Anolis sagrei: one gene and its partner. The protein of the gene in region 2 purifies or fractionates together with the protein of the main gene of each other region. This does not show direct contact. Links are inferred from orthologs where the notes say so. Each region holds a gene or a part of one and is shown on either strand. Other genes may lie near its edges.

Evidence for each region.
Region 1: the proteins of PRP4K (region 2) and ZC3H18 purify together in Homo sapiens (co-immunoprecipitation; 4 studies listed by BioGRID and IntAct, counting the BioPlex papers as one, with this or other methods). This does not show direct contact. The link is inferred for Anolis sagrei from reciprocal best matches to the Homo sapiens genes PRP4K and ZC3H18.

What each region holds. Positions count from the first base shown.
Region 1 is NC_090028.1:26,525,114-26,537,628, reverse strand, and holds the start of ZC3H18 (zinc finger CCCH domain-containing protein 18), read right to left. Parts: upstream 5,379-12,515; 5' UTR 5,172-5,378; intron 3,410-5,171; exon of another isoform or gene 3,390-3,409; intron 1-3,389.
Region 2 is NC_090024.1:86,946,782-86,959,513, forward strand, and holds the start of PRP4K (serine/threonine-protein kinase PRP4 homolog), read right to left. Parts: upstream 5,035-12,732; 5' UTR 5,010-5,034; coding exon 4,909-5,009; intron 316-4,908; coding exon 1-315. UniProt on the Homo sapiens protein: Serine/threonine kinase involved in spliceosomal assembly as well as mitosis and signaling regulation. Connects chromatin mediated regulation of transcription and pre-mRNA splicing.

The DNA of each region.
Region 1 (12,515 bases), on a different chromosome or scaffold from region 2:
GCTAATCACCTCCCAACAAAGGATTCCTCCAGGCAGAAAGCAGCCAAGCCTTGAAGTTGCAAGGTTATTAACTGCTAATCAAGGTTCAGCATTCACACTTGCCTCAAACAGACAAGAGTTCTTTCTCCCACGCTGGACATTATTTCACAGATATATAAACCCTCCTTGCCTTCTTTCCAACAAACCCCACAACCTCTGAGGATGCCTGCCATAGATGTGGGTGAAACATCAGGAGAAAATGCTTCTGGAACATGGCCAGACAGCCTGGAAAACTCAAAGCAACCTAATTTAGCTTATTCTTTCCTTAAATCACCTGCTTCAGTGGCATAATATCCCATTCTCTAACTCTCTGTAAAGTGAATGTCACATAAAGCCAATACATGCACAAAATTCAGAGACTTACTCAGACTGAAGAACACATAAAATCATGGCACACTTGGGTTTCTAATCCCAGACTTGGGGCACACTACAAAGTATATTTTTAGGAGAGGCAAGCATATCACAAGGGTTTTTTTTTGTTAAGATTAGTTTAGATGGGGTTTTATCTTTGTCTTCCTCTGAGGCTGAGAGGGTGTGACATGCCCAAGTGGGATTTGAACCCTGGTCTGCAAAGTTAATACTCAAGCCACTGCACCATGCTGGTCCCTAAAACATCTCTCCATACTGCTCAGTAATCTTCTGTATATATTGCTCCTTTCTCCTGAAGGAAATATTTATGGTCTGTACTACTAGACCACCAAAACAAACATTCTGCAAATGATGGAGACTGACAAAATGATATGTAGTGATCAGCTATCATTGTTTGGAATGATAGGAACCCCTGGAGGCGCAATGGGTTAAACCTTTGTGCCGGCAGCACTGCTAACCGAAAGGTTGGCAGTTTGAATCCGGGAAGCGGGGTGAGCTCCCATCTGTCAGCTCCAGCTTCTCATGCGGGGACATGAGAAAAGCCTCCAACAGGATGGTAAAACATCCAGGCATCCCCTAGGCAGCGTCCTTCCAGACGGCCAATTCTCTCACACCAGAAGCGACTTGCAGTTTCTCAAGTCACTCCTGACACGAAAAAAAAATGTATGGAATATACTGGTAGGCAACCAACAAGCTTTAAAAAGTTTAACTTTCAAATGCTGTGACGACACAATATAAACATGTCCAAACATAGGCATTAGGACAGATTCAGGACACAGGCATTAGAATAGATTTAGTCAGAATGATCCTGAATAAGACAGGATTAATCCTTCCAGCATTTTTAGACTATCAAATTTCCCCAAAGTGTCAACTGAACTAACGTTTCAGGATTTGAAAATGCTTCTAACCGCTTTCTGTTAAACATTGGCTCTAGGTAATAAAGGATAGCGTGGGTAAGCTGCCCACAAATTAGACATTCAGATACTACTACTGCAGAGGTCAAAGTAGACATCAAACACATCCATGATCAAAAAAAGGCCTGCAGTACCAGTTGTTTTCTAATTACAATCTTAAGTTATTAAGCCAAATCAGATATTAACTTCATCTCAACACAACTTGCTTACAATGTGAAAGCATAATATATGAAGTCTCTAAAGATGAGTTAAAAACATGGTTCCCACTGATAGTTGAAAGAAAAACACAATTTGGGAGGACATCAACAAATGAACAATGAAACTGCTAGTCTGAATCATGCTTCTCACATTACCACAGAGTTCCCTACAAGTGTCACCTCCCAGGAACATGAAGGGGGCTCTAGATTCAGTACTAACCTCTGGTCGAAAGGATCATGTGAAGCTGAGAAGAGATGTCTCTGCTAGAGGCTATGAACAACACTCAGGGCAATGGTACGATTCAGTACAAGGCATCTTTTCATAGCGTGTGGCTATCAATGAATGGCATAGCACACACAAAAGGATCTAGATTAATACAAGGAGCCATGCTGGACCAGGCCTAAAACCTACCTAGTCCATTGTGACTCAATCGAAGTCTAATGTTTACATTAAGGAAAATCATAGTCCCCTTCTCTTCTGCTTTGGTCAGACCTCACCTGGAACAACCCTATACCTGAATATCACAACTCAAGAAGGATATGGATGAGTTGGAATATATCCAGAGAAAGACGGTCAAAACTGCCAAACTGGTTTAGGGTGCTGGGGATGCTTAGCTTGGAGAAAAGAAGGCTGTGAGGAGAAATGATAGCCATGTTTAAATATCTAAAAGGATGCAACATTCAGGAGAGAGCAAGCTTGTCTTCTGCAGCTGTAGGAACCAGGACACAATGGAGGAATAGATTCCAAAAGCAGGAACAGAGATATTGTACTACCTAATCATTAGGAAGAACATCCTGACGATAAGAGATGTTCAACTATGGAATATGGAACTGGATTTCTTTTTGCTTTTCTCTGGAGATTTTTCAAGCAGAGTCCATCTGTTAGGATTGTGTCTTTCCTGCTTGGCAGAATGGGGTTGGATTGGATGGCATTTCAGGGTACCTGGTTACCAGGGGAATATAAACTGCCTCGGAGTGTGAGGAAATCTCCTTATCTGGAGGTTTTTAAGCAGAGGCTGGGTGGTCCTTGGGGTCCCTTCCAGCTCTAGGATCCTATGATAGATAGAGCTCTAAACACACATACATCCAGGTGTTGGACTGGATGGCCCTTGGGGTTCCTTACAGCTCTATGATCCTATGATAAATAGAAAGACAGATACATCAATAGATCTCTATACACACATACATAACGAGGTAATTGTTCTATGATTGATTGATTCACTGACAGATCTTTATACACACAGACATCAGGGGTTGGACCAGGGATCCCCTTGCAGCTTTAGAATCCTATGATAGATAGATAAAATGAACTCTAAATACACATTCAGGGGCTGCATTGGATGACCCTTGGGATCCCTTCCAACTCAATGATTCTATGATTGATATAAAGATATCTAAAAACACATACATTCAGGGGTTGGACTGGATGGCCCTTGGGGTCCCTTAGAGCTTTAGGATCGTATGATAAATAGATAGGCCTCTATACACACATACAGAGATTGCACTGGGGGCACTTGGGGTCCCTTCCAGCTCTAGAATCCTATGATAGATAAAAAGAACAAACCCTAAAATTCATCCAGGGGTTTGACTGGGCAGCCCTAGGGGTCCCTTCCAGCTCTAGTATCCTATGATAGACAGAAAGATAGATTCATAGATAAATCTCTATACACACATACATCCAGGGATTGGACAGGATAGCCCTTGGGGTCCCTTCCAGCTCTAGGATCCTATGATAGATAGATAGATAGAGCTCTAAGCACACATACATCCAGGGGTTGGACTGGATGGCCCTTGGGGTTCCTTAAAGCTCTAGGATCCTGATAAATAGAGAGATAGATACATCAATAGATCTCTATACACAAATACATACAGGGGTAACAATTCTATGGTTGATTGATTGATAGATCTCTATACACACAGACATCAGGGGTTAGACCAGGTAGTCCTTGGGGTCCCTTCCAGCTCTAGGATCCTATGATAGATAGATAGATTCATAGATAGATCTCTATACACACATATATACAGGGGTAACGATTCTATGGTTGACTGATTGATTGATCTCGATACACACATACATCCAGGGGTTGGACTGGATGGCTCTTTCAGCTCTAGAATCTTATGATGGATAGAAAGATAAGACACATAGACAGATCGCTAGACACATAAATACAGGGGTTGGACTGGGTAGCACTTATAGCTTTAGAATCCCATGATTGATTGACTGACTGATAGATAGATAAAAAGAACTCTAAACACACACCCAAGGTCTGGACTGGATGGCCCTTGAGGCCGCTTACAGCTCTAGAATCTTATGATAGATAGATAGACAGATCTCTAGACACATACATACCAAGGTTGGACTGGGTAGCACTTGGGGGTCCCTTACAGCTTTAGAATCCCATGATTGATTGACTGACTGATAGATAGATAAAAAGAACTCTAAACACACATCCAGGATCTGGCCTGGATGGCCCTTGAGGCCGCTTACAGCTCTAGAATCTTATGATAGATAGATAGACAGATCTCTAGACACATACATACCAAGGTTGGACTGGGTAGCACTTGGGGGTCCCTTACAGCTTTAGAATCCCATGATTGATTGACTGACTGATAGATAGATAAAAAGAACTCTAAACACACATCCAGGATCTGGCCTGGATGGCCCTTGAGGCCGCTTACAGCTCTAGAATCTTATGATAGATAGATAGACAGATCTCTAGACACATACATACCAAGGTTGGACTGGGTAGCACTTGGGGGTCCCTTACAGCTTTAGAATCCCATGATTGATTGACTGATAGATAAAAAGAACTCTAAACACACATCCAGGATCTGGCCTGGATGACCCTTGGGGCCCCTTTCAGCTCTAGAATCTTATGACAGATAGAAAGATAGAGACATAGACAGATCTCTAGACACATACATACTGGGGTTGGACTGGGTAACACTTGGGGGTCCCTTACAGCTTTAGAATCCCATGACTGATTGACTGACTGAAAAAGAGAACTCTAAACACACATCCAGGGTCTGGACTGGACGGCCCTTGGGGCCCCTTTCAGCTCTAAGATCCTATGATAGATAGAAAGATAGAGACATAGACAGATCTCTAGACACATACATTGATTGACTGACTGACTGAAAAAGAGAACTCTAAACACACATCCAGGGTCTGGACTGGGTAGCACTTGGGGGTCCCTTACAGCTTTAGAATCCCATGACTGATTGACTGATAGATAGGTAGGTAGATAAAAAGAACTCTAAACACACATCCAGGGGCTGGGCTGGATGGCCCTTGGGGCCCCTTCCAGCTCTAGGAGCCTATGATAGATAGAAAGATAGATAGATCTCTATACATTAAGCATGGGCAAACTTCGGCCTGGTGTTTTGGACTCCAACTCCCTTACATTGTGGGAGTTGGGAGTCCAAAACACCTTGAGGGCCAAAGTTTGTTCATGCCCTGCTATACACATACACATCCCGGGGTTGAATTGGGTGTCCCTTCCAGCTCGAGGATCCTATGATAGAGAGATAAACAGATAGACAGACAGAGCACTAACATACGGCTCCAAAGGCCCGGCAGAATTCGTTCCCGAGAGAGAGAGAGAGATATCTCTGTGCGGGCTGAGTAGGCCTCAGGCCTCGCGCTCCTCACCTGGCCCGGCGGGGAGGGGTCGGGGAGCGGCAGCCGCCAAAGGCAGGCAGGCGGGTGGGCGGGCGGGAAGGGGCAGGCGGGGAGAAGCCGTTCCCTGAAGCGGCGCGGCAATGGCCTCCCTACTGGCGGCGAAGCAGGGCGGCCATGGCGCAACGTCATCCGGGCGCGACGGCAACGGCGAGCGCGAGGCGGCTCTAGGAAAAAAGGAGGCGGAAAAGTGGGCGTGGTCCTCGATGCGCGTGCGCAGTAGAGGACAGCCGGGAGGCGGAGCGACGGGAGGCGTCGTTAGCCAATAAGAAAGCTGAATTCTAAATAGAGCTGAGGGAGGAAAAAAAAAAAGATTGAGACTACCAAATTGCGCCTGCGCAGAAAAAAGGGCGGGGAATCAAAGTGGAGTCGTGATAAGGCAGGCCCGGTAGCCAATCGGAGCCAAGGAAAGGGAGGTGGGCGGAGCAATGGAGGAAAGTGGGTAGGCAATAAGGGAGGAAAGAAGGGACTGAGTTGATGCGAAGTGCGCGTGAGCAAAAAGGCAAGCGGGGAAAGGGCCCGGATAGCCAATCAGAGCCGGGGAAAGAGAGAGAGGCGGGGCGACGGGGGAAAGTGGGTAGCCAATGAGGGAGCTGCATTCTCAATGGAGAAGTAAAAGGAGGAGTAGCATCAATAATAATAATAATAATAATAATAATAATAATACTTTTTGTATCTTAAAGAATTAAAATGCAATAAAAACACAAACTGTGAATAATATTTTTATTTCTTAATTAAAATGCAACAAAACAAACATGAATATTAGCACCTTTTATATATATATATATATAATAATACTTTTTGTTTTTTAAGTAAAATGCAATAAAAATACAAACTGAATAATAATAATTTTATATCTTAATTAAAATGCAATAAAACAAACATGAATATTAGCACTATTATAGATATATATAATACTTTTTGTTTCTTAAGTAAAATGCAATAAAAACAAACTGAATAATAATATTTTTTTAATTTTCTTAATTAAAATGCAATAAAACAAACATGAATATCAGCACCTTTATTATATATATAATAATAATACTTTTTGTTTCTTAAAGAATTAAAATGCAATAAAAACACAAACTGAATAATATTTTTATTAATTAAAATGCAACAAGACAAACATGAATATTAGCACTTTTTATTATATATATAATAATACATTTTGTTTCTTAAGTAAAATGCAATAAAAACACAAATTGTGAATAATAATATGTTTTATTTCTTAATTAAAATACAATAAAACAAACATGAATATTAGCACCTTTATTATATATATATATATATATTAATAATACTTTTTGTTTCTTAAACAATTAAAATGCAATAAAAACACAAACTGTGAATAATATTTGTATTAATTAAAATGCAATAAAACAAACATGAATATTAGCACCTTTATTTCTTAAAAAGTAATACAACAAAAAGTATAAATAATCATACCTTTTGTTTCTTAACAGTTGAAATTCAATCAAACACAAACTATGAATAATAATAAATTTATTTCTTAAGAATTTAAATGCAATGCAAACATAAAAAGTAGTGATAGCTTTTATTTCGTGAGAATTAAAATGCAATACATTTTTAAAGTACAAGGTTTATCTGGAAAACAAGATTACAAGGCACGTAGCTCTCGCAGGGAATTTTCTCGGGAAGTTGGCATCACTTCCATGTAGCTAATGAGCAGTGCCAGTTGTCAGCAGCTCATCGACTGGCGTTTTGGTGAAGGTTAGAGATGTGCACCCTCATTCTGTTTCCCTCCAAGTGCAAAGTTCGCACTGTAATATGCTACCTAAATGCTAAGGGCAAGAACGCCACTGTGATTCATGGTGAAATCATTTCAGTTTATGGAGAGGACATAATGTCAAGATAGCAAGTGACAAAATGGGTATGGTGTTGTAGTTCAGCCTGTGATTGTGTCTGATGGTCATGACAGAAATGGAAATGAAGGGCTTTCTGGGCCTGGGTCTGTCAGCAATGGGGATGAGGGTTTGCTTGGGCTTGAGTTAACCCCAGACGAGAGGCCCAAGATGTCCCATGAAGATTCACAAGGTCACATTCCTGGGAGAGGCCTTCAGCAATCTTTCTCAGAGGGCCCATCCAGACAAGACCTTTATTGCAGGAACTCCTGCAATAAAGGAAGGGCTGTCCAGACAATGTTCTGGACAGTCCCACATTATTTATTTATTTCTCAGCCCTTCTGATTGGCCCAGACGCACCGCAGCAGCCCTGTGATTGTCCCACGCGCTCAGAGGGCAGCTGAGCCTCCTCCCAGCTGTTGTGGCATCAGCCAAGTGGAGGGCGGGGAGTGGGAGATTTGAACCACACAACTCTGCATTTCTATAAAAGTGGCATTTATTTGTGTAACCACATGATTAGCTTGGCGAATGATTGCAGCTCTGCATCCTTTTCAGCCGAATCGCTAAATATTGAGTATTTGTGCCAAGTTTGGTCATTGTTTAAGTCCACAGTGCTCTCTGGATATAGTTGAACTACAACTCCAACACTCAAGGTCAATGCCCACCAAACCCTTCCAGTAGTTTCTGTTGCTCATGGGAGAACTGTGTGCCAAGTTTGGTTCAATTCCATCATTGGTGGAGTTCAGAATGCTCTTTGATTGCAGGTGAACTATAAATCCCAGCAATTACAACTCCCAAATGACAAAATCAATTTTTTTAGAGAAGGACATACATTGGGTTGCTAGATGTCTTGTGTCCAAATTTGGTGTCAATTCGTCCAGTGGTTTTTGAGTTCTCTTAATCTCACAAACGAACACTACATTTTTATTTATATAGATTTAAATACAACAAAAACAAACAGTAGTATTACCAATATTAATAATACATTTGATTTCTTAATTTGATTTCTTAGAAATGAAAATGCAATAGAAACACAGAAACTTAATTCAATAGCAATGATCCATGACAGTTCGGCGTCAAACTGCATTAATTCTGCAGTGTGGATGTACCCATGAAGGTTTGGAAAGTTCATTAGGGAGTTGGCTTTCCAAGATATCTAATGATATCTATGCAAGGATGGCAAAATCCAGATAAAATCAGAAATGTGGTCCATTTCGGATAAAGGATGCTCAACCGTACAGGGTGGCTTTTGTGTTTGCAAACGCAAGAGGGAGCTCAGACCCAACAAATAATACAAAGTAAGCTGAATAAATGGTTTGCTTCCAACTTCAAGGAGCCAAATCATCAAACAGAATGAAACTCTGGCACAAATCAAAGCTGGCTTGCTAGGCGTGAGCTCCAACTGGGCCCCTTCTCTCCAAAATGAGCATTTTAATAAGCCCTTTATGATAATCCTAGAGAAGAAGAAGAAGGCCAAACGTCAAGGGATTTTAAACATGAAATGATAGCAGAAAGGTTGGAAAGTATTATCATTGCAATATATACCAATTGCTATGTAGAATTAATGCAGTTTGGCATCACCTTAACTGCCCTGGCTCAATGCTATGGAATCCTGGGAGTTACAGTTTGTATTTATTTATTTATTTATTTATTTATTTTATATACCGCTTTTCTCAGCCCTCAGGTGACTCAAAGCGGTGAACAACATCAATACAAAACATCACGAGACAAGCATAGGGCAATTAAGAACAATTGTAACATAAATCATTTAACATCCGTATAACAATAATTAGTGCCTCAACAGTAAAATCAGAATCCAGTCTCATCATCCATTATTCCGTATTCCTATGTTCAATTACACTGTTTAATCAAATGCTTATTCGAACAGCCAGGTCTTCACTTTCCTCCAAAACGCCAGCAGGGAGGGAGCCGATCTGATATCTGCAGGCAGGGCGTTCCACAGCCGAGGGGCCACCACTGAGAAGGCCCTGTCTCTCGTCCCCGCCAAGCGTGCCTGTGATGCAGGCGGGACCGAGAGCAGGGCCTCCCCAGATGATCTTAGTACCCTTGGACCTTGCAAAACTACAACTCCCAGGATCGCATAGCATTGAGCCAAGGCAGATAAAGTAATGCTGAACTGCATTCATTCAACAATGTAGATACGCCCTTGGTAAAGCATCTCCATAGTATTGTTATTGGTATTTATATCTCACTTTTTCTCTCTCAAGCAAAGCTCAAGGCAGCTAACATGGTGCGTTCTGCACTGGAGAATTAATGCAGTTTGGCATCACTTTAACTGCCCTGGCTCAATGCTATGCAATTCTGGGAGTTGTAGTATCCCAAGGTCTTTATCCTTCTCTGCTGGTGCCACACCGAACTTCAACTCCCAGGACTCCATAGCAGTTGAACTGCATTCATTCTGCAGTGTAGATGCATCCCATAAGAAATCTCCGGAGATGGCCATTTTGGTGATTGCTCCCAAAATTGATCCAGTGATGAATATCTTTTTTAATTAGATTGCACCACCTGACATCCGCCGGGAAGTAGCAGCCAATAGTAAAAGGACCAAGGCAGTGACATCTCCAGCTCATCCCCTGTTTGGGTATCAGCCAACACGTCAATGACTTAAATCAATAGTTGTGTAAGATCTACAGAGACACTCGCTGGACACACCTCAGCAAGCGAGAGTCCAAAAGTGGCAGGCTCAAACCCAGAACCTCAATCAATGGCTGATACTAAATGAGAGACTCCCCCCTGGGCACACAGAAGACTAGGTGACTTGGAAGGCACTGAACAGACTGCACTCTGGCACCACGAGATGCAGAGCCAACCTCAAGAAATGGGGCCACAAAGTGGAATCCACGATATGCGAGTGTGGAGAAGAGCAAACTACTGACCACCTGCTGCAATGCAACCTGAGCCCTGCCACATGCACAATGGAGGACCTTCTTATAGTAACACCAGAGGCACTCCAAGTGGCCAGCTACTGGTCAAAGGACATTTAATCAACTACCAATCTTGCAAACTTTGTGTTTTGTTTGTTTGTTTGTTTAAAAATGCAATACAACTGTTTGGCTTGCTCCTGACATGATAAATAAAATCCCATAAGAAATCTCCGGAGAAGGCCATTTTGGTGGTTGCTTCCAAAACTGATCCAGTGATGAATATCTTCTTTTAATTAGATAGATGTCCAGACATTAATCGGTTGCTATGCAGGTGCCTTTTGCCTAGCAACACTTTTAGCCCTCTCTTCGTTATATTTTCAATCCAGTGCTGTTTTGAATAGGGCTGAGGTTTCCACTAGGCCTGGGCAACAACGCAAAAATTTGTTTCTAAAATCGATTTGTATTTGGGGGGTTTTTGCGTTTCGATATTTAAAATAATTACAAAATTTTCCTTTGAAAAAGTTCAGTATTTACGAAATTTCGTTAATTTCGTTTTTAGAATATTTTTTGAATTTTTTTGAAATATTTATTTATAAATATTTTTTGAAATATTTAAAAATGGAAAATTAACAATGCTTGCCCTGTTGTGGAGCGAACACAGCCACAGGACAGGGACAAACTCACACACACAGGCACACAAGGGTCTTTTCTTTTTTTAGAATATTTTTTGAATTTTTTGAAGCATAAAAGAAAAATATTTTTCAGAAATATTTAAAAATGGAAAATTAACAATGCTTGCCCTGTTGTGGAGCGAACACAGCCACAGGACGGGGACAAACTCACACACACAGGCACACAAGGGTCTTTTCTTTTTTTAGAATATTTTTTGAATTTTTTTAAGAATAAAAGAAAGATATTTTTCAGAAATATTTAAAAATGCTTGCCCTGTTGTGGAGCGAACGGCAAAGCCTCCCCGCTGCTCCCAGCCCAGGGAATGAATGAATGCAAGCAATGAATGAATGCAAGCCAAGCCTCCCTCCCGAACCTCCCGTCTCCTCGCCTTCCCCAGCAATGAGCAATGCGGCCACGCGGAGCCGCTTTTAAAGAGCAGCCCGCCCAATCACAATCAGCCACAGTGCTTGGGAGTGCAGGATTGGCTCCCAGCGCACCCAGCATCCTCCATCCCTAAAACGTCATTTCCGAAACGGGCGGAAGCCCATAAAAAAGATGGAGGATGCCGTTTCGATATTTAAAAACACTTCCGGGTTTGAAAATATGTTTTGTAATCGTTTTGTAATTGCTAAAAATAACGAATATTTAACGAATTACAAAATTAACGAACGAAACCACCCAGGCCTAGTTTCCACCCTTTTGCGTGTTTAAAATCGTTTTAGCTCACAGTTATAATCTTGGTGTGTATTATTGTTATTTTTTACTTCTTTTTCTCTGAAAGACACTCGATGTGGTGAACTGTGGCAAAAACAATACAATATGCCATTATAGCCTAAAGGCTATAATAAACAGTGAAATAGAATGTGGAACTGTCTAAAAACGAGTAAGTAAAACCAATTTAAAATACATTGGAAGTATTTTATAAAATACATATATTCATATACACATATTATACACACAAACACACATATTCATGGCCTTATATTCTATTTATGTATTATAAGTTGGTTAAGCAAATAAATATAAATATATTATTTGCTTTAAGTGAATAAATATAAACATATTTATGTGTGTGCGCGCATGTGTATTGTAATGGTCTTATGTTTTACCTCTGTATTATAAGTGTTGTACCCTGCCTCAAGCAAATAAATAATAAATAGCATATTATTATTATTATTATTATTATTATTATTATTATTATTATTATTATTATTATTTCTATCCCATCTTTCTCTCCATAGGGACCTAAGGCAGCTAACAATCTCAACACAACAAAAATGAGTGCCCAGCAAACAGGATCACTATGCTGGCTGTTGTATTGGATCACACATTGGACACTTCCCAAATGTCTAGGACTGTGTGATATATCGGCAAATAATGTGTGCAGATCCCAGTAGGGTGGCCTTTTGCAGCTTTGTCGTGATTTTGTCAATGTTTATTGTTTCCAAATGCCGGCTGAGGTCTTTTGGCACGGCACCCAGTGTGCCCATTATCACTAGGACCACCTGCACTGATTTATGCCAGAGCCTTTGCAGTTCAATTTTGAGGTCTTGATAACGGCTGAGTATTTCCTGTTGTATTATTATTATTATTATTATTATTATTATTAATTCAACAAGAAGAGTCCACAGCAGACAAGATCACTCTGCTGGCTGTTGTATTGGATCACACGTCGGACACTTCCAAAGTGTCTAGGACTGTGTGATGTATCGGTCAATAGTGCATGCAGATCCCAATAAGGCGGCCTTTTGCATCTGGCAGATGGTAATCTTGTCAGCGCTGATTGTGTTTAAGTGCAGGCCAAGGTCTTTAGGTACTTTACCCAGTGTGCCAATCATCACTGGGACCACCTTGACTGGCTTATGCCAGAGTCTTTGCAGTTTGATCTTTAAATCCTC
Region 2 (12,732 bases):
GCTTTAAGTAATGCTCTTTGTTTTTCTAAATCTTCCAGGGGCGCTAAGAAATCAATTTTAGTTCTTTTTGCTGGCCCATCTTCCTTATCAGAAGCATCAGCAGCCTCCTTTCGTTTATGCTTCTTATGCTTGTGCCTATGTTTATGCTTTTTGTCCTTATCCTCTTCTGAAGAATGTTTGTGTTTCTTATGTTTGCCTCTATGTTTGTGCTTCTTTTTTTTATGTCGGTTGTGCTTTGTCTGAGGTTGGTCACCTTCTGAAATATCTCCATTTTCTTCATTTGCACTTCTCTCAGAAATATCAGCTTCGTCAATACTATCAACATATAAAAAAGAATATTTCAGGGTCAAATAAAATACTACAATTCAACAGGAAAATTCCATTATGCTATTCATTCAGGGATCTAAACACAACCAATATCTTTGAAACATTCACATTGTGGTCATAAATGGTACTGCACGATTGTGCTGTGCAGTATGGTTCTAATTACTGATATATAGCTGTGAAAAATGGGATATTGGCAATTAGTCTTAGACATCTTTCCATCAACAACTCCCATCCAGAAGATTATTTATAGTCCTTTTCTTTCATGCCAACTCTGCTTCTATTTACAGAGTCAGTTGTTTCAAGAAAATAGGACTCCTAAATACACATCCAGCCCTGCGAACAGACAAGCATCAGGCAACACTATGGAGCAGACATGGGAAACTTGGGCCCTCTGGGTGTTTTAGACTTCAACTCCGACAATTCCTAACAGCTGACTGTTAGTAATTGTGGGAGTTGAAGTCCAAAACACCTGCAGGGCCCAAGTTTGTTCATGCCTGATTTGAAGAGTGGGTGTTTTTATGTAAGGGGGGGGGGGTGAATACAAGGACAGGATTACATTTTAATATTGACTGGCATAGGTGGGGAACCAGTTCTGGTCTGCTTTAAAAAGCAAATGGTACCTGAAGGTAAAGACAATTTGGGAAAAGAACTATGCTCCAAAATGAAACTTCTTGTTATCAAAGTTATTACTTCTTATCTTACCCTTTGTGGGCAAGCTGAACAATTAGTTTACTACCTACACACTCTTTTTATAGTACCTAAGAAGAAGAATGTTTTACTCCTGAACTGTCACGAACTCCAAACATGTTTTCAAAGTACAAATCATTCAGAGGAATTTGAGAGTAGGGTAAGATGGGAGCATCAGAATATTTTAACTCTGATTATCTTTCAACCCTAACAATGTAAGATAATCTTGTGTAATCAAATATTTTTAATAAGTGTAATGAAGATATTAGTACTTATTTTAAGTCAACTGTGGGGGAGGGGGGAGGAGCAAGTAATGACATTCCTATCCCCTACTTGCACATGGTATTTTTCTATTGCCGTGTTTTCCAGACTGGTTTTCCGACTGTTTTGTTGGACTTCAGCTCCCAGGATGCCAAAGCAGCTGAGGTTTCTCGAGTTGAAGTCCAAAAAACTTGGAGGATTAGAATTTAGGAAATACTGCTGTACTGGCTGAGAACCATCTCTCTTTTGCCTGTCCTTAAGACAGAAATCAAATGCGCTAGTGGAGAAACACTGCGCACTTTCCCTCACTTGTATATTTGTTTTCTATAGTAACATGGAAACTTACATAAACAGCTGCTTTTAGGGAACTGGTTTTACAGCCACACAAACATCCATGAGCCAAAACTATTGTAATGTTTTTATAACTTCTTTTTGTACTTATGTGCAGTTACTGTGTAGTATATGCTTTTAACTGCATATATAGAAGCCGCTACACACTTTATTTTGTTAACATTTCAGCTCAATGGCACACTGCACACAGGATTAAGGTCAGTCCTTTGATTAGAAAATCTAGCTAATGACACTCATTTTAGTTCTGAAATCGCCAATACTGCTAATAAAACACAAATGTCATAAAAAGCATTTTTAGCAGTGCATGCCTATTCACAAAATCAATTACCACATTATAAAAATAAAACAGATTTTTAAACACTAGTAGTGCCCTGTCTGTAAATAGTACTAAGTGAATATAAAGAATTATTACATGCACTCTCAAGAGAAACCAAATTTCTAAATACCATGATACTTAAGATTGTACAAGTCAAGTATCTATTACCTGCTAATCCAAAATGCTCCAAAGCTGTCAATGCTACTGGTTGAGATGGTGACATTTTGCTTTCTGATGCTTCAATTTTTGTTTCATACACAAAATTATTAAATATTGTGTATAAGATCATCTTCATGATATTCATGTAATATGTACATAAATTATAAATGATTTTTTAGACCAGAAACTCATCCCATGATATCTCATGAATTATATGCAACTACACGCAGTCCCTAAATTGCAAACATCAGATTTACAAGCAACTCCTACTTAAGTACAGGGGTGAGGTAACAGGAAGCGAGAGAAATCTACCCCTTCCACACAGTTGTATAAAATCCACATTGAACTGGATTATATGGCAGCGTGGATTCAAATAACCTAGTTCCAAGCAGATAATGTGGAGTATCTGCCTTGATATTCTGGGTTATATGGCTGTGTGGAAAGGCCCATAGAGAAAAGGAGTCTCCACTGAAACTTTATCTCCAATTCTTGTTTCCACAACAAGCCTATTTTTTCAAAATCAGATTATTACAGGGACAGAAAGTGGGGTGAAATCTTCTGAACAGGGGCACGGATAGGAAAACAAACACCACAGGGTTGTTAACCCTTCGCTACGGTATCCAAAGCTTTTATATGGCTGGAGTTACACTTTAAAAGTGTACCTGTTCTAAATTACATACAAATTCAACCTAATAATAATTCAACCAAATTCAACCTACAGAATCTATCTTCTTCCTAACTTGGGGACTGCCTGCATTCCAAAGTCCACTCCACTTCCAAACTGAAAACACTTCTGGTCCAAAGTATTTCAAATAAATACCAAAAGCAAACCCTTTGTATCCAGGAGTATAGTTCTAGGACCATCTCCTCAGGGCGTCCTTCCACACAGCCCTATATCCAAGAATATAAAGGCAGAAAATCCCAAAATTATCTGAGTGTGGACACAGATAACCCAGTTCAAAGCAGATATTGTGGGATTTTCTGCCTTGATATTCTGGGATATAGGACTGTGTGGAAGGTTCCAGGGAGATAGGGCAGAATACAGATAGTTTTTGCCAGTAAGATTGCCAGTAAACTGGATTAATGTCGAGAAAGAATGCATGTCTAAAAAAAGTGTGTCACCAACATGAAAAGTTTGGAAAGCTCTGGTATACACAATAGCATTGTAAAATGGTATCTCTTATATCAAATGGCAAAAACAAAGTTTGTTTTGTTTCCCCTCCCCTGGAACATTTTCAAGCCATGAGTAGCTAAATCTGTGGATATGGCGGGCTGGCTGTACTCAAACTATACCAATACTTCCCATGGATACTATATCCATTTTCAACTCATGCAAGGAACAGGCATATTTGTTTGTGAAGCAAACTGCACAAACAAAATATAGCAGACTTTCAGGACCCTTCCAGACAGGCTCCATATCCCAGGATCTGACCCCTGGTTTTCTGCGTACCCCAGATTATCTGGTAGCGGGGACTCATATAATCCAGTTTAAAGCAGAAAACTGGGATCAGACCCTGGGATATATGACCTGTCTCGAAGAGCTTTCAGGCCCCTTCTATGGGCCCTATACATTGCCATATAAAATCCAGGTTATCTGCTTTGAAATTGATTATCTGGCTGTGTTGACTCAGATAATCCAATTCAAAGAAGATAATGTGGGTTTTCAACTTTGATAATCTGGATTATCTGACAGTGTAGAAAGGGCCTACACTGCCATATAAGATCCGGAATATTTGCTTTGAACTGGATTATATAACAGTATTAACTCACACAATCCAGTTCAAAGCAGATAATGTGGATTATCCGCTTTGATAATCTGAATTACATGGAAGCGTAGAAGTGGCCTTGCTTAACTGGTACCCATGGAGATTGGTACATGCCGCATAAAATTGCTTGAGAGTTAGGACCCTTCCAGACAAGCCCTATATCCCAGGATGCGATCCCGGGGGTTTTCTATTTATTCCATATTATCTGGTAGTGCAGACTCATATAATCCAGTTTAAAGAAGAAAACCTGGGATATAGGGCCTGCCTGGAAGGGCCCTATCTGTTAAAAATAGACCTAACTAATATTATACATGCCATAAGCTCTGCACCGACATAATAACATTGAAATAGAGGAAATAAAAGCAAATCGTGACAAATTTAACTAAAGGTAACACTTCTGCTGTTCTATTCTATTATAAAAACAGGTTTTTAAAAACTATTATTTCTTCTTTTTCTGCTAGTTGCCTGAGTTCTGGTTAATTGAGAGCCTACTGGACTGTAATTAGAATTTTAAAAACAATTCAGAGATGGTATGAGAAAATATCCCCACGCCTATAAATCTACAAACATGAAGGAAGACACTGCCTGTAGTTGCCAAACAAATTCCTCCCACGTAAATATGGGAGGGAAACTGTTACAGGTTTTATTATGTGGGGGGAGGGAGAAGTAGCGGGAAAAACTATCGTCTGAGGCCCCTTCCACACAGTTGTATAAAATCCACATTGAACCAGATTATATGGCAGTGTGGACTCCGATAACCCAGTTCAAAGCAGATATTGTGCGTGATCTGCTTCGATATTCTGGGTTATACGGCTGCGTGGAAGGGCCCTGAGGCCCGTCCTACTCTGAAGGCCAGGCTCAGGCACTACTAGGCCCAGCCAAGGCCGCCTCGCGACCACAATAACGGCTCTTCAGGCACGCGCTCCTTCCTTCCCTCCCTTTGTTCTTTCTACTCTTCCTCTCTCCCGCCTTGTCAAAGAGGGCCTAAAAGGACAACAGCGAGGCGTATTTTTTAAGAAGGAAAAACCTGGTCGGCCTTACCCAGAGCCCTGCAGTCCCAGCTCCACTACCGTCGCCGCGGCCATTTTGAACTTCCGAACGACTTCGCCGACGCCGCTGAAGAGAGTGGGGAGCGTGCGCATGCGCGCGAGAGGAACACAACGTCCGAGGAGACAGAACGAGGCACTTAGCGTCAGGGGTGCCGGAAATGAAAACAAAACCTCGCGAGAATAGAAAGGGAAGCCAATCGCAAGGGTAATGGGCAACTCCGGCGAGACTTCAGTGACTCAAATAAACTTCCGGTTCCCAGTCGAATATGAAGCGTCCAAGGCAGAATTACATTCGAGAAGATGAAATGCTTCTTCCCCGCATGTTGCATTGCTCAAATGCGAACCGGAAGTGAGGAATAGAAACAGCACTGCTTGGTTCCTTTGTTCTCTAGTTAAACGCAAGCGGAAAATGGAACATTCTGTTTTAGGGAACGTCTAAAAAGAGACACACGTTTCGAAGGGTCTAGCTCCCTGGCCCCTAGAGGCAGCAAAAACAAGAGGGATCTTGTGGCCTTATAACCCAGAATATCAAGGCAGGAACTCCCACAATATCTGCTTTGTACTGGGTTATTTGAATCCACTGGAGGAATCCCACTGGAGCATTGCAGCACACTCAAATACCTGGGAGTCACTCTGGACCGTGCTCGCTACAAGAAGCACTGCCTGAAAATCAAGCAAAAAGTGGGTGCTAGAAACAATATCATATGAAAGCTGACTGGCACAACCTGGGGATCACAACCAGACACAGTGAAGACATCTGCCCTTGCGCTATGCTACTCTGCTGCTGAGTACGCATGCCCAGTGTGGAACACATCTCACCACACTAAAACAGTGGATGTGGCTCTTAATGAGACATGCTGTATTATCACAGGGTGTCTGCGCCCCACACCACTGGAGAAATTACACTGCTTAGCCGGTATTGCACCACCTGACATCCGCCGGGAAGTAGCAGCCAATAGTGAAAGGACCAAGGCAGTGATATCTCCAGCTCAAGCCTTGTTTGGATATCAGCCAGCATGTCAACGACTTAAATCAAGAAATAGTTTTCTTAGATCTACAGAGACACTTGCTGGAACACCTTGGCAAGCGAGAGTCCAAAAGTGGCAGGCTCAAACCCAGCATCTCAATCCGTGGGTGATACCAGATGAGAGACTCCCCCATGGGCACACGGAGGACTGGGCGACTTGGAAGGTGCTGAAGAGACTGCTCTCTGGCACCACGAGATGCAGAGCCAACCTTAAGAAATGGGGCTACAAAGTTGAATCCACGACATGCGAGTGCAAAGAGCAAACCACTGACCACCTGCTGCAATGCAACCTGAGCCCTGCCACATGCACAATGGAGGATCTCCTTGCGGCAACACCAGAGGCACTCCAAGTGGCCAGATACTGGTCAAAGGACATTTAATCAACTACCAAGTTTGCAAAATCTGTGTTTTTTTAATCTGTTTGTTTGTTTGTTTTGTTCTATTAGAAATATAATATAATGGTATGGTTGCTGATGACACGATAAATAAATAAATCTGAATCCACATTGCCATAGATTCCAGTTCTAAGCAGAAAATGTGGGATATTTTTCAGCTGTGTGAAAGGAGCCTGAGGGGGCTTCCAAAGAGACCCTATGGCCTTTCCATACAGCCCTATATCCCAGAATACCAAGGCAGAAAATTCCACAATATCTGCTTTGAACTGGATTATATGAGTCCACACTCAAATAATGTGGGATTTTCTGCCTTGATATTCTGGGATATAGGGCTGTGTGGAAGGGCCCTATGTCCCAGGATCTGATCACAGGTTTTCTGCTTTAAACTGGATTATATGAATCCACACTGCGAGATAATTTGGGATAAACAGAAAAGATCCTGGGATATAGGGCCTGTCTGGGAGCGCCCTTTGGGCCTTTCCACACGGTCCTATAACCCAGAATATCAAGGCAGACAATCCACAATATCTGCTTTGAACTGGATTTTCTGAGCCCACACTGCCATATAATCCAGATCAATGTGGATTTCATACAGCTGTATGGAATGGACCTTAATAGATCTGCCAGTAAATCTTGCAAATGTTTGTGTGGAGTTCCCTGAAGCACAAAATTGTATCCGGGGTGACATATTATTATGCCAATGTTTGGAAGGGGAACAGTAATTAGGGAGTCATCCCTCCACATTCACAATCATTATTTTGGTTTTCTTTGGCCCCTTCCTTATTTAGTCCTGTAAACAGTGGGAATACCATCCTGCAATCCAGAACTGGAACTAGCGAATTTATCCCGTGCATTCCAAGAAGGCTCAGAATAAACCCACTATCTAATTAATTTGCTACAAACCAGGGTTTCCTGGTTTGTAGCAAATTTATTTGGGGCTGTCCAGAATATTGTTGCTGGCAGAAAAAAGGAAATGCAAAGATACAGAATGGGGGGTGCCTGGCTCCACAGCAGTACATATGAAAAAGATCTTGGAGTCCTCGTGGACAACAAGTTAAACATGATCCAACAATGTGATGCAGTGGCAAAAAAAGCCAATGGGATTTTGGCCTGCATCAATAGTAGATCCAGGGAAGTCATGCTACCCCTCTATTCTGTCTTGGTTAGACCACACCTGGAGTACTGTGTCGAATTCTAGGCACCACAATTGAAGGAGATATTGATAAGCTGGAATGTGTCCAGAGGAGGGCGACTGAAATGGGTTTGGAGAACAAGCCCTATGAGGAGCGGCTTAAAGAGCTGGGCATGTTTAGCCTGAAGAAGAGAAGACTGAGAGGAGACACGATAGCCATGTATAAATATGTGAGGAGAAGTCACCGGGAAGAGGAATCAAGCTTGTTTTCTTGTGCCCTGGAGACTAGGACTTGGAACAATGGCTTCAAACAACAAGAAAGGAGATTCCATCTGAACATTAGGAAGAACGTCCTGACTGTGAGAGCTGTGCAGCAGTGGAACTCTCTACCCTGGAGTGTGGTGGAGGCTTCTTCTTTGGAGGCTTTTAAACAGAGGCTGGATGGCCATCTGTCAGGGGTGCTTTGAATGCAATATTCCTGCTTCTTGGCAGGTCAGTTCCTCACCAAACTACAACTCCCAGGATCCCATAGTAATGAGTCTTGGTTGCTAAAGTGGTCCCAAACTGCATTAACAGTTCTAGTTCACTGTTCTCTATCTATCTATCTTCTATCTTCTATATATATAAAAATGCTCTGTGCATAATGAGTACCTTAAAAACAAAAGAACCAATGAACGAAATCACACCAAATTTGGCAACAGAATGTCTCATGACACAAGGAGTGACCATCACTCAAAAATTATGATTTTGTCATTTGGGAGTTGTAGTTGTTGGGATTTATAGTTCAGCTACAATTAAAGAGCATTCTGAACCCCACCAACGATGGAATTGAACCAAACTTGGCACACAGGACTCCCCTGACCAATGAAAAACACTAGGAGGGTTTGGTTGGTAGTGTCCTTTGGTTTTGGAGTTGTAGTTCACCTACTTCCAGAGAGCACTGTGGACTCAAACAATGATGGATCTGGACCAAACTCTACACGAATACTCAATATGCCCAAATGTGAACACTGGTGGAGTTTGGGGAAAATAGAATCTTGACATTTGGGAGTTGTAGTTGCTGGGATTTATAGTTCACGTACAATCAAGAAGCATTCTGAACCCCACCAACGACAGAATTGGGGCAAACTTCCCACACAGAACCCTCCTGACCAACAGAAAATACTGTGTTTTCTGGTGGTCTTTGGTGACCCTTCGGACACCCCCTCGCAGCCTCCCCCCCCAGGGGTCCCAAACCCCAGGTTTAGAAATGCTGCTTTAAGGCCATCCAGTCCAACACCCTTCACCAAAGCAAAAAAACATAAAGCCCTTCTGACAAAGAGCCATCCAGCCATAGATATAAATATATATGATTCACGTACACACACACACACACACACACACGCTTATGACAGATATAGTACCATAGATTTGAAAAGGACAATGATATATTGCATGTTCCAGAGCAGGCAGACCAGACAATCTCCACATCAACATTGACAAAGAGACAGAAAGAAATACTGTTTACCCACAAGCATCAAGATATTACATATATTAGAAACCAACACTTTCTCATTACTTTATTTTCCAGATCACCAGACTGGGCCACAGCAATGCGTGGCAGGTGACCGCTAGTTCAAAATAAAACCAATGAAGTCTTAAAAGTCATGGCTATAGGGGAAAAAACTCTGCTCCTTAATAAAAAAAAACTGGGTTCTTGTAGGTTTTTTCGGGCTATAGGGCCATGTTCTAGAGGCATTTCTCCTCTAGAACAAAAAAAACTGCCTGAAATCCTTCTTTAGGCTCCTTCCACACAGCTGTATAAAATTCCACATTGTCTGCTTTGAACTGGGTTATATGGCAGTGTGGACTTAGATAACCCAGTTCAAAGCAGATAGTGTGGATTACCTGCCTTGATATATTCTGAGTCATATGTATATGTTGAAGGGCCCCTAGAAGAATTTGCACATGCTCCCTTTGTGTCTCGGTGGGCGGGATCAATGCCATGTTTCCCTGGGATGTTGCAGCTGGCAAATGGGATTGGAGGAACGGAAGTGGAGAGCGACCAATGGGAGCCCTCCTAGACCTTCGCCCCTGCGAAGCAGAATGGAACATTCCACCCCTCCCCCCGAGGCCAAGATTTGCAGAGGTCCTGCATCGCTCTCCTCTGCACCGCGCTCATTCAGAGGCGGAGGATCTGAGATCGTTGGGTTAATATATTATTTTCCGCAGATCTCTTCGCCAAGGATAACTGAGGTATGTTTGTGTCTGTTCTTTCCTGGTTGCCCTTGAGATAGGAAGGAGGAAGCAATGGCTGGGTTATTTCTCTTGGCTGGCCTTTGGGTAATAAAAGGCAAGCAGGGCCTGAACCATGCAATCTCATGTTGGGCTAAGCCTCTTACTCTTTACTTAAGATTTTTAAGCTCTGCTTGTTCCTCCACTAAAGGGGAAACTACATGTTTATCATGCTTGATGAATGCAAGGCTGGGGTAAAAATTGCTGGAAGAATAATTAACAACCTTAGATATGCAGATGATACCACCTTGATAGCCGAAAGCGAGGAGGAGCTGAGGAGTCTTCTATTTAAGGTGAAAGAAGAAAGCGCAAAAGCTGGGTTGCAGTTCAACATAAAAAAACCCCAAGATCATGGCAACAAGAATGATTGACAACTGGGAAATAGAGGGAGAAAACGCGGAGGCAGTGACAGATGTTGTATTTCTAGGTGCAAAGATTACTGCAGACTACGCCAGGACATATGGTACACACACACACAAACACACACACACTATTCCTAAAGGTAAAGGTAAAGGTAAAGTCTACTCGTGTCCGACTCTGCGGGTTGGTGCTCATCTCTATTTCTAAGCCGAAGAGCTGGCATTGTCCATAGACACCTATGAAGTCATGGCCAGCATGACTTCATAGAGTGCTGCAGCCAGGAAATCAGAAGACACTTACTTCTTGGGAGGAGAGCAATGACCAATCTCGATAAAATAGTAAAGAGTAGGGACATTTATTTATTTATAGTATTTATATACCACTTTTCTCCCCCTAGGGGGACTCAAAGCGGTTTACACATAGATAATGGCAAAATTCAATGCCTTACAACTACAATAGTAAAACCACACATTAGATATAAATCATATTAAAAGCAATACATCATCAAGCATCAAAACCATAAAACAATCTCATCAGTCGAGTCGCCGTTCCAGTCCTTGTCCCTTTAAAAAGCTGCATACATCTATTGTCCAGAGGCCTGGTCCTCGAACCATGATTTTAATTTTTTCCCTAAAGGTCAGGAGAGAGGGAGCAGATCTTACTTCCTTTGGGAGTGTGTTCCATAGGCGGGGGGGGGGGGGCACAGCCGAGAAGGCCCTGCTCCTTATCCCCACCAGCTGCATTTGCGCTGTTGACGGGAGCGAGAGCAGGGCCTCCCCGGATGATCTTAAGTTGCGAGGTGGCAGATGAGTTAGAACAAGTAAGCTGGGCCAGAACTGTATAGAGATTTATAGGTCAAAACCAGGACTTTGAATTGGTCTCGGAGATGGACTGGCAGCCAGTGGAGCTGGCATAGCAGGGGGGTGGTGTGCTCCCTATATGCTGTCTCGGTTAGTAATCTGGCTGCCGCCTGTTGAACTAACTGACATCACACTGGCAACGAAGATCCGCATAGTCAAAGCAATGGTATTCCCCATAGTCCCCTATGGGTGTGAGAGCGGGACCATAGGGAAGGAAGATAGCGAAGGAAGATAGATGCTTTTGAACTGTGCTGTTGGAGGAAAGTTCTGAGCATGCCTTGGACCACCAGAAGATCCAACCAGTCCATACTTCAGGAAATAAAGCCCGGCTGCTCATTGGAGGGAAGGATATTAGAGGAAAAGATGAAGTACTTTGGGCACATCATGAGAGGACAGGAAAGCTTAGAGAAGACAACTATGCTGGAGAAAATGGAAGGAAAAAGGAAGAGGAGCCAACCAAGGGCAAGATGGATGGATGGTATCCTTGAAGTGACTGGATTGACCTTGAAGGAGCTGAGGGTGGTGACAGCCGACAGGGAGCTCTGGCGTGGGCTGGTCCACGAGGTTACAAGAGCCGGAAGCGACTGAATGAATGTACAACAACAAGCATTGAATTTTGCTCTGTTTACTGCCTTGAGTCGCCTACGGGCTGAGAAAGGCGGTATACAAATACAGTAAATAAATAAATGTTCCAGAAGCATTCTCTCCTGACATTTCACCCACATCTACGGCAGGCATCCTCAGAGGTTGTGGGTTCTGTTGGAAACTAGGCAAGGAGGTTTATATATCTGTGTAGTGTGCATGGTGGGAGAATAACTCTTGTCTGTTTGAGGCAGGTGTGAATGTTGCAATTGCCCCCCTTGATTAGCATTTAATGGCCTGCAGTTTCAAGGCCTTGCTGGTTGCTGCCTGGGGAAATGTATGATTATTATATTATTTACTTATTTATTAATTTATTATTTGAACTGTGGTGTTGGAAGAAAGTTCTGAGAGTGCCTTGGACAGCGAGAAGATCCAACCAGTCCATACTGCTGGAAATAAAGCCCGACTGCTCATTGGAGGGAAGGATAGTAGAGGCCAAGATGAAGTACTTTGGCCACATAATGAGAAGAAAGGAAAGCTTGGAGAAGACAATAATGCTGGGGAAAATGGAAGGAAAAAGGAAGGGGGGGGGGTGACCAAGGGCAAGATGAATGGATAGCATCCTTGAAGTGACTGGATTGACCTTGAAGGAGCTGGGGATGGTGATGACCAACAGGGAGCTCTGGCGTGGGCTGGTCCATGAGGTTACAAGAGTTGGAAACGACTGAATGAATGAACAACAACAAATTTTATTTACTGCATTTCTCTGCCCGAAGGCGGGTACAGCTAGTGTATAATAAATATATATTATGAAACAATGGGAATTAAAACAAGCTATTATGTATGTGTCTCTGCTTCTGTTTATTTTAATTTAAATAATTTAAATTTAATTCTATCTTGCCTTTCTCCTGGTATAGGGACTTGAGGCAACTAGCAACAAATATGAAACAAATGGAAATCAAGACAAGCTACGTGCATTAAAACAGAAATATAATTTTTTTAAAAATAGTTAAGCCATTTTTATAATGAAAACCATGAAACTTTTAACATATTAAAATGAATTAAACCTACACATCCACCCCCAAATCCCACTTCTAGATTTTTGTGTCTCTTCAGATTGTTTCCAATTTATGACAACCCTAATGTGAACCTCTCATGGGTGTTGCTTGGCAAGATTTGATCAGAG